Linked DNA regions of Arabidopsis thaliana. The protein of the gene in region 2 purifies or fractionates together with the protein of the main gene of each other region. This does not show direct contact. Each region holds a gene or a part of one and is shown on either strand. Other genes may lie near its edges.

Evidence for each region. Proteins that work in one complex are often made in the same cells at the same time.
Region 1: the proteins of GAMMA CAL2 (region 2) and AT2G33220 fractionate together in Arabidopsis thaliana (co-fractionation; one large-scale study listed by BioGRID). This does not show direct contact.
Region 3: the proteins of GAMMA CAL2 (region 2) and ATP3 fractionate together in Arabidopsis thaliana (co-fractionation; one large-scale study listed by BioGRID). This does not show direct contact.

The regions. Positions count from the first base shown.
Region 1 is NC_003071.7:14,076,872-14,081,683, reverse strand, and holds AT2G33220 (GRIM-19 protein), read right to left. Parts: upstream 2,835-4,812; 5' UTR 2,711-2,834; coding exon 2,496-2,710; intron 2,053-2,495; coding exon 1,981-2,052; intron 1,900-1,980; coding exon 1,759-1,899; coding exon of another isoform or gene 1,755-1,758; exon of another isoform or gene 1,506-1,754; intron 1,366-1,505; exon of another isoform or gene 1,280-1,365; coding exon 1,183-1,279; coding exon of another isoform or gene 1,049-1,182; 3' UTR 941-1,048; downstream 1-940. Other genes in the region: YUC7 (YUCCA 7), read left to right, coding at 1-411, 537-908, 1,049-1,273; HSP60-2 (heat shock protein 60-2), read left to right, coding at 3,116-3,153, 3,405-3,429, 3,510-3,641, 3,804-3,963, 4,089-4,360, 4,441-4,545, 4,624-4,710, 4,812-4,812.
Region 2 is NC_003074.8:18,032,768-18,037,541, reverse strand, and holds GAMMA CAL2 (gamma carbonic anhydrase-like 2), read right to left. Parts: upstream 2,608-4,774; 5' UTR 2,436-2,607; coding exon 2,042-2,435; intron 1,146-2,041; coding exon 769-1,145; 3' UTR 501-768; downstream 1-500. Other genes in the region: CXE12 (alpha/beta-Hydrolases superfamily protein), read left to right, coding at 1-356; AT3G48675 (egg cell-secreted-like protein (DUF1278)), read right to left, coding at 2,991-3,350; IDN2 (XH/XS domain-containing protein), read right to left, coding at 3,927-4,163, 4,253-4,462, 4,570-4,774.
Region 3 is NC_003071.7:14,017,670-14,022,985, forward strand, and holds ATP3 (gamma subunit of Mt ATP synthase), read right to left. Parts: upstream 3,517-5,316; 5' UTR 3,379-3,516; coding exon 3,281-3,378; intron 2,880-3,280; coding exon 2,836-2,879; intron 2,725-2,835; coding exon 2,572-2,724; intron 2,373-2,571; coding exon 2,259-2,372; intron 2,177-2,258; coding exon 2,049-2,176; intron 1,938-2,048; coding exon 1,815-1,937; intron 1,716-1,814; coding exon 1,596-1,715; intron 1,507-1,595; coding exon 1,309-1,506; 3' UTR 941-1,308; downstream 1-940. Other genes in the region: RLP25 (receptor like protein 25), read right to left, coding at 15-671; RLP26 (receptor like protein 26), read left to right, coding at 4,201-5,316.

The sequences.
Region 1 (4,812 bases), on a different chromosome or scaffold from region 2:
CCGGAGTATCCAACGAAGTACCAGTTTATTGAGTACCTTGAGTCCTACGCTACCCACTTTGATCTCCGCCCCAAGTTCAATGAGACGGTCCAATCAGCTAAATATGACAAGAGGTTTGGGCTGTGGCGGGTCCAGACTGTTTTGAGAAGCGAGCTGCTCGGTTATTGTGAGTTCGAGTATATATGCAGGTGGCTCGTGGTGGCGACGGGAGAGAATGCTGAGAAAGTGGTGCCGGAGTTTGAGGGTTTAGAAGATTTTGGTGGTGATGTTCTTCACGCTGGAGATTATAAATCCGGCGAGAGGTACCGCGGAAAACGAGTTCTCGTAGTTGGATGTGGAAACTCAGGCATGGAAGTCTCTCTTGATCTATGCAATCATGATGCGAGCCCATCAATGGTCGTTCGAAGCTCCGTAAGTAAAATTCAGTAAATTATACCCACCAAGTTACGAAAAACAGAGCACCCTGATTCTTAGTAGCTCCTCTGTTTAAAACAGAGCATCTGATAGTTATACTCTGTTTTTCCTTGTTCGATCAGGTTCATGTATTACCGAGAGAAGTTCTTGGGAAGTCGACGTTCGAGTTAAGTGTAACAATGATGAAATGGATGCCGGTTTGGCTCGTGGACAAGACTCTTCTCGTTCTCACAAGGTTACTTCTAGGGAACACCGATAAGTATGGGCTCAAGAGGCCTGAAATTGGACCGTTAGAGCTGAAGAACACCGCAGGTAAAACTCCCGTGCTAGACATCGGAGCCATTTCAATGATCAAATCAGGAAAGATCAAAATCGTAGCGGGAATAGCTAAGTTTGGTCCGGGAAAGGTCGAACTCGTGGATGGTCGAGTTCTGCAGATTGATTCAGTGATTCTTGCCACTGGTTACAGAAGCAATGTCCCTTCATGGCTTAAGGTAGACAAAAGTATTATCTTTTTCAGATTTTTGTCTCAAAAGATAACATTTTATAGGACCATAGAATACCGGTATTGATAGTTATGGGAAGTTTGATAAAAACTAAGACGTTGATTGGTGATTGATTTATTGTTATGCAGGAAAACGACTTGGGTGAGATTGGGATAGAGAAAAACCCATTTCCAAAAGGGTGGAAAGGGAAGGCTGGATTGTATGCGGTGGGATTCACCGGAAGAGGACTCTCAGGTGCATCGTTCGATGCAATGAGTGTAGCTCATGACATTGCCAATAGCTGGAAAGAAGAAACTAAGCAACAGATCAAAACTGTCGCTACTCGCCACCGTCGTTGTATTTCACACTTTTGATTTTCACTGTTTATACGAAAACATATATGAGAAGAGGTAAAAAAGAGAGGATCGATAGTGTTATGTGATGTGAAAATCAAAGAGATAAGCCCACTCCATGAGAGTATAACTGTGAAATGTGTTTGAGCTTATTTTCTTGTAAGGAGGATGTGGCTCCATGTATTTAACGTATTCTTTAACATTCCAACTTATCTTTTGTTAGCAAATGTGTTTGATTAGAGCTGATCTAGAAAGTTTAAAACATGATTAGTTTAAACAAAATATATGAACATGTGTCTGAAACTGATTTCGTCATTGACAGAAATAAGTGAATGAGGGAAAAATACCGAAAACATTCCTCCGTACCGTACCAGCAATACATGAACTGTGTATGTATCATTTCTCTTATTATACGATGGAAATATAGAGACAACAAACATCAAGGTTCTAAAATGCTTAAACAAACATTCATTCATCATCATCAAAAGGAGCCATTGAAATTTTACCAGACATCAGGACGAAGCTCTCCGGTAGCTGGAGGCATCCAACGACCAGAATTGTACACGTTTTCACCGACTTTCCATCCAGGAACATCCTTCATCACATCCGCCTCGTATTCTAGATACTTCTTCCACTCAGACACAAACCTATTTACAAATCAACACGTGGTGATCCAATGTGAGAGTTTGTACCACACAAGCAAACATAACTTCTTTTGTGAATCCTACCTTTCATCTTCTTCAGCTTGAAGAATCGGTAGAATTGCTCTACGTGCAGCGTACTTCTCTTCCTTCAACGCCCTATCATCACAGCAATCTTCATTAAAACTTTGGAGTTGATACATTGTGCTCATTTTGACACTTTTGTCATCATTATGCAATTGAGAGTCTAACAATAGAAGACTATTAGAGAATGTCACTTACACACACCAAGAAAGATAACACTGTGTTGTCTTATTCGTTGCAAATTACTCCAAATCGACACTAATCAAGCTAAATAACTCACAATGTGACCATCTAAAAACCAATATGCAACTAACCACTAGTATATCATCTTGCAATTTGATTGCTTTCTTCATCACAGCTCAAGAGATCGTTAATTAGTAACCAATTTCGAGACTAACCACACAAATTTATAAGCATCAATCCCAAATTGTCTTAAGATTCAATCCCAAATTACTCAAAATTTCACAATAGAGAAAAGCCTAACCAAACTCAAATTCCACATCTCATTATCTAATTACCTGCGGATTTTGTTGCCCTGACCAACTTGGTACATGCCCCAAGCAAAAGCACCGGAAACGGTAAGGAAAATAGCCATGGCGCTAGGTCCCGTGTTGGAGATCCGGCGAGCATATCGGACCGGCGCGAATCCACCAGGTGGTGGACCATCCTGAAGCAACGGCATATCCTTCACACTCGCCATTCCTGGCTTCTTCCTTATCATCGCCTCCGTCATCTTCTTCCTCGATTGATCCCCAAATCGATCTTTGATTCGTTAATCAGTGTGTGTTCTAGGGATTCTGAGAAAGACAATCAGAAATGAAATGAAATGAAAAATCTTTTTTTTGGTGACTTTTTTTTTAAAATGTTGTAATAATGAACTGGGCTTTAAAAGGCCCATATTAAAATAGTACCGGGTCAAAACTCGAACCGGATCCAAAACCGGAGGCTAAAACTCGACCAAGCAATGATGAGCTTGGAGAAAACGTAAAACCCTAAACCCTACTGCTTATAGAATCTTCGACGATCTGCTTCATTTCTCCTCATCTACGAGTGAGAGAATTTGTCAATTTAGCTTCTTTAGTTCGGTCTGATCTGAATTAATTGCAATCTTCTCGGTTGTGTGAGAGAATCAATCACCATGTATCGGCTTGTCTCCAACGTTGCTTCCAAAGCTAGGTAGATCTATTCGACTTTTTGGTTTTCTTTGTGTATATGATTCCAATGCTGCTTTATTTTCTGTGAATTTGTTTCTGATTGGATCCTCGAAATCGGAAAGTTGCGAGAAACTGTTGGGAATTGAATCGGATTTTGATCGGATTGAATTGAATATTTCTCTGCCATTGGAGAGTTTAGCATCTTCTATTTTCTTTGTATTTCTGGAAGTTGCTTCATTTATTGATGGGATTTATTTTTCTTTGTTTCAACAGGATTGCCAGAAAGTGTACAAGCCAGGTTCGTGTTCTTCATTTTGTATCTAATTTGTGGTTTAGCCGTTTGTGGGTATGTATTGATGTGAATTTGTGTATTGTTAGATTGGAAGCAGGCTCAATTCTACTAGGAATTATGCAGCAAAAGACATAAGGTTCGGTGTTGAAGCTCGGGCTTTAATGCTTAGGGGTGTTGAGGATCTTGCTGATGCAGTTAAAGTCACTATGGGACCCAAGGTATAAACTTATGTTTCAGATAATTTCTGTGTAAGAGACTTGTATTGTAAGTGAATCTAGTTAAAAATAGATAACGTGACGACCTATTGACAAGTATCAACAATCGTCTGTTTTGTTACCCTCACACTCTCTGATACTACATGTCTAAAACCATTTTTGAAGGGTCGTAATGTCATCATCGAACAAAGCTGGGGTGCACCAAAGGTGACAAAGGATGGTGTGACTGTTGCCAAGAGCATTGAGTTCAAGGATAGAATTAAGAACGTTGGTGCCAGTCTTGTGAAACAGGTTGCTAACGCCACAAATGACGTAGCTGGTGATGGTAAGTGTTCCCTTTCAATGGATTAAAACGTTTTTTCTGTTTTTGCTAATTGGGTTGTTAGTCTCCTATCTACTCATATTAATCGGTGTTTTTGTATCTGACAAAATATATGGTATGCGTTACAGGAACAACGTGTGCCACAGTCCTTACTAGAGCTATCTTCACGGAAGGTTGTAAATCAGTTGCCGCTGGAATGAATGCAATGGACCTAAGACGTGGTATCAAATTGGCAGTTGATACTGTTGTGACGAACTTGCAGAGCCGAGCACGCATGATTAGCACCTCTGAAGAAATCGCCCAAGTTGGAACAATATCAGCTAATGGAGATAGGGAAATTGGTGAACTGATTGCAAAGGCTATGGAAACTGTCGGCAAAGAGGGAGTGATCACAATTCAAGTGAGTTGAATTTTATCCCTAAATGTCAAATTATTTTGCTTATTCCTTAAGGTGACCAATGTTATCATCTCTTGATTCAGGATGGCAAGACCTTGTTTAATGAGCTGGAAGTTGTTGAGGGTATGAAGATTGACAGGGGATACATCTCCCCGTACTTCATAACTAACCCGAAAACACAAAAATGTGTAAGGATTCCCACCTTGTTACTTTATCAATTTAAGGAATTGCGGATTTAATTTGCTCTGAATGAATATGTGTTGCAGGAACTAGAAGATCCTCTCATTCTTATCCACGAGAAGAAAATTTCCAATATAAACGCAATGGTGAAAGTATTAGAACTGGCCCTCAAGGTATAAACAATTTGGCGATTTCTTCACTGTCAATAGTGTCTGATATTCATTAAGTTACTTTGATCTGAAGATCGAAATTTATTTTCACTGCCATTTTTCAGA
Region 2 (4,774 bases):
AGAAGGATACGAAAGATGAAACGTTGAGGATGAAGATAGAGGCGTTTTGGATGATGGCAAGTCCTAATAGCAAAGATGGAACAGATGATCCGTTGCTCAACGTGGTGCAATCAGAGTCGGTGGATTTGTCTGGGTTGGGTTGTGGTAAGGTTTTGGTAATGGTGGCTGAGAAAGATGCGTTGGTGAGGCAGGGTTGGGGTTACGCGGCTAAGCTTGAGAAGTCTGGTTGGAAAGGAGAGGTTGAAGTGGTGGAGAGTGAAGGAGAAGATCATGTTTTTCATTTGTTGAAACCTGAATGTGATAATGCTATTGAAGTCATGCATAAATTCTCAGGGTTTATTAAGGGAGGGAACTAGCTTTGTGCTCTCTAGAGATATTGGAATAATTTGGTACTACATATTTTAGTTGCGTCTCTCAGTTTCTGTAATGTTTCAGTGATTGGCTTTTCGCCCAAAGCAACACAATAAAAATTGAAGATGAAAATATTTTAGTACGAGATGTTTAATTCTATAACACTACGAGATTATTAGCTTTTCCAATTGTGAGGGGAGACGAAAGAAGTTTTACACTTTCCAGTTTTCACCATTATCATCTTCATAGAAAGTTTGAACACAAGGATATGAACTTAAACAAAACAAACAGAGAAGACAACATTTGAAACACAGCTCTGCTCTTTTTCTTGTTCCGCAGCTACTTATTCAGATCAAATTCCGAAAACGAAGAAGCTTTCTTAATGAGGGAAGTAGCCAGAAACCTGGAAGAAGCTTTCTAGATGGCGATTCCAAGGGATTTCTTGAACTTCTCAACCTCTAGATAGATAGTTGAGTAAGGCAAGAACTCTGAGAAGTAATCTCCACTTAGGTGGTTAATGGCAACAGCAAGTTTCGGGATCTCTAAGGTTTCTTCATTGGTGAGTGTTCGAATAAACCTTGCTGGATTGCCTCCCCATAGTTCACCAGATGGGATTCTTCTGCCAGGTGGTAAAACAGAACCAGCTTCTAGGATTGAGCGGGTTTCGACCAGTGAACCTTCCATTAGGATTGAGTGTTGCCCGATGATGCATTCTGGTTCGATAGTGCATGATCTTAAAAGACTGTATGCACCAACTGTCACGTACCTATCGATCAATGTTTGTGCTGGTAATCCTGAAAAAAATCAAAGTAGAAAGTATCTTCTAAGATCAGATTTTTATCTATCATATCAAAATTCAAAAGCAGCACCACAGTATGCTCTATCCTTCAAGATGTTAGTATAGAAAAAGCATGAAGACTGGTTGATAATACAGAGCTATTAACCCGAAAAAATGGTGAATCAAGTAATTAAGTACTAGTTGTAAACTACAGCTTAATCAAACCAGGAGGCTGTTGAACTAAAGACTTTGACACGGAATCCACCTTGGTAAGACTAAAAGACGCTTATGTTCATTCAGCTTGACGCAGCTTCAGAATCTCGGTTCCAACCACTGAATATAATATCAACTTTCTGCAAAATTCTCTCCGCATAACTAAAAATCTTTACTATGACATAGTTCCTGAAACTTCTCCAGAGCTGCTAGGCAACTTTCTACAACTAAACAAGATGGTCTCCACCATGCTAATCTATTCAACCCCTGAATTACCTAAATTTTAAAATCAAGCACATATCATCAATGGGTTTCTTGCTTCCAATATCACTAATCACCTAAAGAACTACGCAATTCTATGCATCCTTGTCTAGCTAAACGCAAAATGCTCTGAAGATTAACTTTACTGAACAAATATCATTCATGATTCTTGATCTGGGGACATCTTCACTCCAAACAAATATGCTTACTTACACTTCACTACTTCAGATAAAAGTGTAAAATCTCCTTAAAGGTGAGACTCTACATTTTCCATAATCAAAATGGAAGATGAAAATGAAAACCCTAAATTCCAATATCAATGATTCCATTAGCTAGCAAGCAGTAACTACAGCAATTGGATATCCAGAACTCAAACTAGAAGCTACAATGGAACCATACAGAGACTCAAATTCCGAAAAAATGACAAAGAACAAGAACCTGTAGGCGACGACCACGCAGCATGAACAACACACCGTTCCTGGACATTTGAGCAGAATCCAACGGTGATCTTATTAAGATCTCCTCTCAAAACGGCACCGTTCCATACAGACGAGCCGTCCCAGACGGTGACCTGACCAGCCAACACAACGTTAGGTGCCACGTAAGCATCTACAGCTACCTTCGGTAGCCACTGTCCCAGAGGAATTATCTGTCTCTGGCCTCTGTAGTCCCATTTTACCCGATCCGGCGACGGCGTCACCTGCGATTTCGGTTTAGGTGTTTCCGTCGTCGCCACCGCTACTGCTTCCGCGGCGAAGTAACGCCGAATCAGATTCGATGAAACAGCCGATGTTATGCTTCTTTTAGAGATTCGTGCTAACGAAGTCGCCATTGTTATGGAATCGGATTCTTCAAGGTCTTGTGTAGAGAGAGAGAGAGAGAGACAGAAAGCTTCCCGGAGGAGGAGACAGAGAGGAGTCGTCGGGAGATTCTTCAAAATCTGAAAAATGAAACTATTTGGAAAGTTTTATTGGGCCTTATGGGCTAAGTTAATAGAGGCCCATTAGTCATGCCATTGTCTGCAACAAGTTTCATGTACGATATAATCTTTTTGGTATGGTATTGATATGCGTTCGTGTTCGTCGTTTTTACAAATTTTAAATGCTGAAATATGTTTTATTCCATAGTGTAAGAACAATATTTTCATATATAAACGCAAACAAAATTTTGTTTATGTTATAACCACTCTTTTAACAAACTACATGGCAAACACATACGAGTACATCAAAAAGCTTAGCTTTGTTTATTTTAAGCTAAAGATTACAAAAAAAAAAAAATTACTGCAAGGAGAATTTTGGATTATTGGGCATTGTGATCTCTCAAATCGATAAAAGAACTTCTTAAACCTCGAAGCTAACAACTGGCTCGCAACATTTGTGTGTAGCCTTCACTTGTGTGTTGATGATGGAGTCGTAGCAATACGCTCGCAGTTGTTCTTGAGAATAGGAGGGAAGAATGGGTTCAATGGAAACATATGTGGCCAACAGTTTGTATCTATAGCTGAAAACGTTTTACAACATGGGGCTTCAATGCTAGCAAACTGACCAGAAAATATCGATTTGTAGATTTCTTGTACACATCCTTGGACGTTAAAGAGAGATGACCAACATTTTATGATATCAATAGGAAGACCCGGTGGGAAAAGTCCGGGGATCGTAGGGAGTGCTTGAGAGAACCCTGGCCTCACTTGAAGAACAATGGTCATAGCTAAGATCACAAAGAGAATAGCTCCTGAGTTGTTTTCCATCTCTCTCAAGCCGGTTTTCTTCTTTCTCCTTTAAGGTTCTTTGCAATGATGTAGATGATTTTGGCTATATTCACGAAACTTAGATTTATAGGGTTATAAGATGAAAACAGTGTTAGCATAATAAGGAAGGGGTCAATATCAAATTTGACTACAAAAAGTAACTCATGACAAAGTTTGTTTTTACAATAAAAGGTTCTAAATGACATGCTTAAGATATGAGACAGAAGAGAGGCCAAATCTAGTTGTTTTACATGTGAATTATATTACAATGATATTTTTATTTCTTATTGTCCAAAGCGGCCAAACTCCTACAAATGTTACAATGAAAAGAACCGATGCAAGACATCAAAGTTGTGTCAATTATTCACTAAGTTCTGAGAAGAAAAACAAACAGAATCCACCAAAGTTTGGTCAAACCAAACACATTTCTCTGCAACTAAAAACCGCATCGGCTTTTTATTCAGTCCCATGTCCATCATCTTGCAGCTGCAAACCATCAATCGAAATCCTATATTAGCAAATAACAATTGCAAATGAAAACATATTTTTGTTCGGTTATCAAAAATGGTTAAACCTCTAAGCCATTCCACGCTTGCGTTTCGCCTTTTCCCATTGATCAAGTAAACAAGTGACACCTTCTTCAAGTGTAGCCTTCTTATCTGCTTTGAAGTTCCATAGCTCTGTTGTAATATACCTTCCACTCGGGTTATACTCGTTTATCTCCAACAAAGCTTTCGTGACCGCATTGTAAGGACCATCTCCCAAATCTGCCTTTAGCTCCCTCAGCTTTTCGTCTCTATCATCTATCACTTCCTAAACACAATTAACAACAACACCAAAAAAGCTTTTTAATCTTTCAGAGAGATTCAACATAACAAACAGAGTCAAGAAGGCGGTCTTACCACTTCTCTATCTTCATTTTCGAGCTTGACCCGCTTGAATGGATGCCAATCTGAATCTTTGAGATAGTGTTCCCAAAGTTGGAGAACTTCAACTGCTCGGTCCTCCACATCTTGCTGACAATACTTCTGCTGCATTGCATCCACGAATGGTTTCGTCACGAGCTCTCCCATTCTCTTAACACCGATATTTGTGTTCCATTCTTTCATAATCTATGAAGGCACATGAAACAAACAAAACCAAGATTTTAGTAAAATGTCAAGCTTTCTCATAGCTTTTCGATGTGATTGAAAAGAACAACACTTTGAATGATACATACGTTTACCAATTCTTTATGAGCTTCTTGAAGCTCATCGTTGGTCCTGCGCTCTCTAAGGATAAGAGTTTGGTTAAATTTATCGAGATCTGCGAGTTGTGCTTCCTTCTCACCTAAATCTTTGAAGATGATGTCCACCTCTTTCACAACTTCAGCATCGCCATCTGATGCCATGTGCTTCATCACATTGAGCTGTCCTTTCAACTGC
Region 3 (5,316 bases), on a different chromosome or scaffold from region 2:
AACACTAACAAATCTTAATGGTTTCTACGCTTATTAGGACCAATTATCTTGACGAGCCACTCCGGTTTGTATGAAGCAATGATTTGCGCTATTGCCAATCCAAAAAAAACTCCAGGTCCATACCCTGTTGCCACTGCTTTCCAGTTCAACACTTTTGCATCCTCTTGGTTGTCTTCTTTCTTTGACTGTTGTATTGGTGGCACTTTCGTTCCGAAGCAACTTTCTTCGAGAGGAAGACCACAAAGCCCTGCATTCCCTTCAAATGAGGATTTTGGTGGCCCAGTGATTTGTGTTCCTTGTGGTATTTCACCCTTGAGTTGGTTATGGGACACATTTATGTACCCCAAAAACGAGAGGGTCTTGAGTCCTTGAGGAATAGTCCCAGATAGTCCGTTTCTAGACATGTCTAATGATTCAAGCTCAATAAGATTGGCCATAGACATGGGAATATTACCTATGAAAGCGTTGTTTGATAAGTTGAGTGCAATCAGTGCCTTCAAGAGACCAATGGATTCAGGAATCTGTCCTTCAAGTCTGTTTCCGGAAAAATCAATAGCGCTGTATAAAGTAAGAATCCTCTTTTGCTCCATGTGTAGACCTTTGTATCTTAAATCTATAAAATCTTGATAGGTATAAGAAATGCTACCGTAAGCATTCTTAGTGTATATCATATATAAACCCCCTTCTTGATTTTAGCGTGAGTGATGATGCTTTCCAATTCTCATAATAATTTGGTGGCAAGCCTCCGGTAAATTTATTACCAGATATCTCAAATATCCGCAGCTCTGGATACCCTAGTGGACCTCGATCAAGAGGAGATATTGAGCCATAAAATTTGTTTCACATGATTGGATTCACATCAGTTTAAACTTTCTAACATCAGATTGTTTATACATAATTCCAAAATTCTAGAAATCCACTAGCATGACAACATACACTGCATTGGATATATTGTTTAGATTTGTTTGTGGGATTATTCAAAGTTTCAAACTTCAAAACCTGGCGAAGTGACAAAATATTGGCTCAGGTAAAAAAATATCAAATAAACCGGAGTACATGGTGTTTGCACAAAACAACACTACAGACTCTGGAGGAAGCGAGTCTGAATCAGAACAAAATGTTAATGCAATTATTCGAAATCCTGCTGGAAATTACAGGTATGTTTATTAAAAATCGTTGAGCAAACATTGGTAGGTCTCAACAAGAAGCCAGCAAAGGAAACTGATTCAGTAAAATTTTAACACACTCTTCTCCTTCAAGGTGGGGGTAAATATCAAAGCGAAGAAAAGAGAACTAACACGGATGGGCTTATTTAGCAGCTTCAAGAGCAGAAGCTCCAGAGATAATCTCAATAAGCTCTGTTGTAATAGAAGCTTGACGAGTCCTGTTGTATGTGAGGGTGAGACGGTCGAGCATTTCTCCTGCGTTTCTGCTTGAGCTGTCCATGGCAGACATTCTTGCTCCCATCTCACTACATGCATTCTCCAGAACCGCATTGAACATCACCTAGTAGAATTTACGTAAACAACCAAAATGTTATGTTTCTTTCTATGCTGAAATACCATAAATCAAGTTAAACTTTCTTGGTTACTTACACAAGAGAATTGGAACTCGGCCAGATTCTGCAATATTTCTCCCTTTGTTTCCCCACCTTCAATCTCATATGAGTCAAGCTCGCCAAGTTTTCCTCCAATTTCAGACTCCTTCTCAATAATCTTTCAATGCAAAACACACACATATACAATCAAGTTTATACTTAAAGCAGAATGTGAAATATTAAGCACAAATTGAGACGTTCAACAGTTATGACTTACCTCAGGTGACAAAACAGTGGACACAGTTGGCAGAAATGCGACAACTGAATGGAACTTGTTGTAGACAATGCGCAAAGCATCAAATTCAACGTTCTTCAGGATGTCATCAGCTAGAACTGACACCTGAAGCAGCAAGTAAACATAAGAAACACTATAGACAACAATAAATAGCTCGAGAACAAATGGATCGGGGAGAGAAACTATTGCTCCTAACTATTAGCAACTAAGAACTACCTGAGCATAATTGAGTGGGTTCTTATTCAGCTCTGTTACAGAGAGGACAATGTCGTTCTTTGAGTCACGAAACATTATAGCCTTTGCTTTCTCTCCGACAATAACAAACTGAACTTCCTTTTCAGGACCTGCAATGATATAAGAATTAATATCGGATATGCAATTCAGGAAAACTAAACCACGGAACCATCGTAGTGTTTTCAAACATACCAGCATTCAATTTGTACAGAGCCCTGCTCACTTTAACGACAGTGGAGTTGATTCCACCACAGAGACCCTTGTCAGAAGAGAGAGTGACCACCACACTCTTCTTTACATCAATGCCTGGTTTTTCCATCAAGTAACGCTAGAAATCAGAAACACATCCACAATAACAACAAGAGATAGCAAGAGGATGGATATCTCAGACTATAGTAAGAGCAACAGATTTGTTCGTCGTCATCAATATTCAATACCGATGCAAGCCCGGAGTGATACTAGAACAAAGTTATTAAGAAAAACAACTCTATATAGCCAACCATACTGGGATTATCTCCTAGAAGTGCAGTAAATGGCTGCCAAAGTCCACGGGAGTTCTCAGCTCGGCCTTGAACTGCTCTAAGCTTGGAAGCAGCAACCATCTTCATTGCCTTTGTGATCTTTTGGATGTTCTTAACACTCTTCATGCGGTTACGCACTGCACAGAGAATACATGTAAAGCAATTCATAAAGATTAGAACATCACAGATTTCTTAGAACACAATCCTAACTAGGTAAAACCAATCTCCAATTATCAGCTTTGACTTACCCACTTGAGTTGAGATAGATCGAACTCCAAGAAGTCCTTCCTCCCTACAAATCAAATACAAGTTTAGTCCTCATCATCCTAAATATCACAAAGTTTTGCAGGTAAAAGCTGATTAAATCTGACGAGCTTAGACAACATATCACAAAGTCTCTTCTACGAGGAAAATCAAATTGGTCTTGCAATAGGAAATTCAACGAAACGAGCTTAACAGGACATTTCCGAGTCTCAAAACTCCAAATAGACGAACAAAAACACCTCACTCATTAGCAGCTCCCGAGTCAAACAACACAATTTCCATAAATTTTCGTCGATTCGAATTTCAAGGAAATGAAAACATCAACGACTCAATTAAATCAAACGATTTCAAATTCAGAAAAGCATCACAGAGGAACAGCGAAATGTGTGTTTATACGCAAGGATAAGATGAATGAGAAAGAGATCTCACTGGTCAGAAGAGAGAGGAGATCGGATAGCAGCGATTGGGCGAGCGGCGATTGAAGGGAGGAGACGCCTCCCTTCGCGACGGAAAACAGCCATTGCCATTGATTAAAGGATTGATCGGTAAACAACAAAACCTAGCTCCGGCGAAATTTCTCAGATCGGATTATAGAGAGAGATTCGAGAGAGATGACTGCAATGGGCAAAATCAAGGGCTTCTTTATTTCTCAGTCTACACAGTAGTTTTGTCACGACGTCGTTTCCACTTTATTACCAAAATTTCCCCTGAAATTAATCGGGCCGAATAGAGGCTAATACTATTACTTTTTCGGCCCATCTTATAAGGCCCAAAGGTATCTCCTCAGATTATCAATCACGTCGTCATACACGTCTTGTTTCCTTTTACATTTTTGAGTTTTGACCATGACTTCTTCTTTCTCCAATCTATAACCAAATTAATGCGAGTTGTTTCATAACGCAACATACTCATAATAAATGAAAATTAAAAAAATATCAAGAGAAGGTAACATTTCACCAACCTATTAATTATTGAAAGGCCCACTTAATTTATTTTTCTGTATCTGTAAACAATAAGATACTATTAAACAGAATTGTCATCATCGTTACGTCATATTAATGTGCGTTCATTTGATCCAATGAGAGTAAATTGCTGAGTGTTGATTTCCTCTTGTTGCTAAATTTTGAAGCCAATTTTAACAGTCAACTATAACTCCCAGTTATATAGTCAGAGATGTCCACGTGGAATTTACTTCATGAACAAATGTGACTCGTAGACATTTCACGTGACATTTAAACCCCACATATTTAGTAAAGGCGGCTTAAAATAACATATATATAGCAAATCTTTGATATGTCTTTTTTTGGGTTCAATAATTTCCTCAACTTGTTGGTTCAATCACAAACACCATGCGTTTGCATTTTTGCTCGCTACTCTTACTCTACTGTATCGTCTTCGTTTCAAGCTTCTTGACGACCGACGCTCTTGCTTGTCTTCCTGACCAGATCCAAGCTCTAATCCAATTCAAGAATGAGTTTGAATCTGACGGCTGCAACCGCAGTGACTACTTAAACGGAGTCCAGTGTGATAACACGACTGGTGCGGTCACGAAGCTTCAGCTCCCAAGTGGTTGCTTCACTGGAACTCTCAAACCAAACAGTAGTCTCTTTGAGTTGCATCAGCTTCGTTACCTTAATCTCTCTCACAACAACTTCACTTCCTCTTCACTCCCTTCTGAATTCAGCAATCTCACCAGATTAGAGGTTTTGTCTCTTGCCTCTAGTAGCTTTACTGGTCAAGTTCCTTCCTCAATTAGTAACCTTATCTTGCTTACCCATTTAAACCTTTCCCATAATGAGCTCACTGGTAGTTTCCCACCTGTAAGAAACCTAACAAAGCTTTCCTTTTTAGACCTTTCTTACAATCAATTCTCAGGAGCCATACCTTTTGATTTACTACCCACTTTGCCTTTCTTGTCTTATCTTGATCTGAAAAAGAATCATCTCACTGGTTCTATTGATGTCCCAAACTCTTCTTCTTCATCTAAGCTAGTTCGTTTGTCCCTTGGGTTTAACCAATTTGAAGGAAAAATCATAGAGCCTATCTCAAAGCTCATAAACCTCAACCATCTTGAACTTGCTTCCCTAAACATAAGTCACCCAATTGACTTACGCGTCTTCGCTCCTCTCAAATCTTTGTTGGTCTTTGATATTCGTCAAAATAGGTTATTACCAGCCAGTTTAAGTTCAGATTCAGAGTTTCCATTGAGCTTAATAAGCTTGATTTTGATCCAGTGCGACATTATCGAGTTTCCAAACATCTTTAAGACCCTTCAAAACTTGGAGCATATAGACATTTCCAACAATCTAATCAAAGGGAAAGTACCTGAGTGGTTTTGGAAGCTTCCTCGTCTTAGCATAGCAAATCTTGTTAACAATTCTTTGACTGGTTTCGAAGGTTCTTCAGAAGTTTTACTTAACTCATCAGTGCAGTTACTAGATTTTGCCTATAACTCCATGACAGGA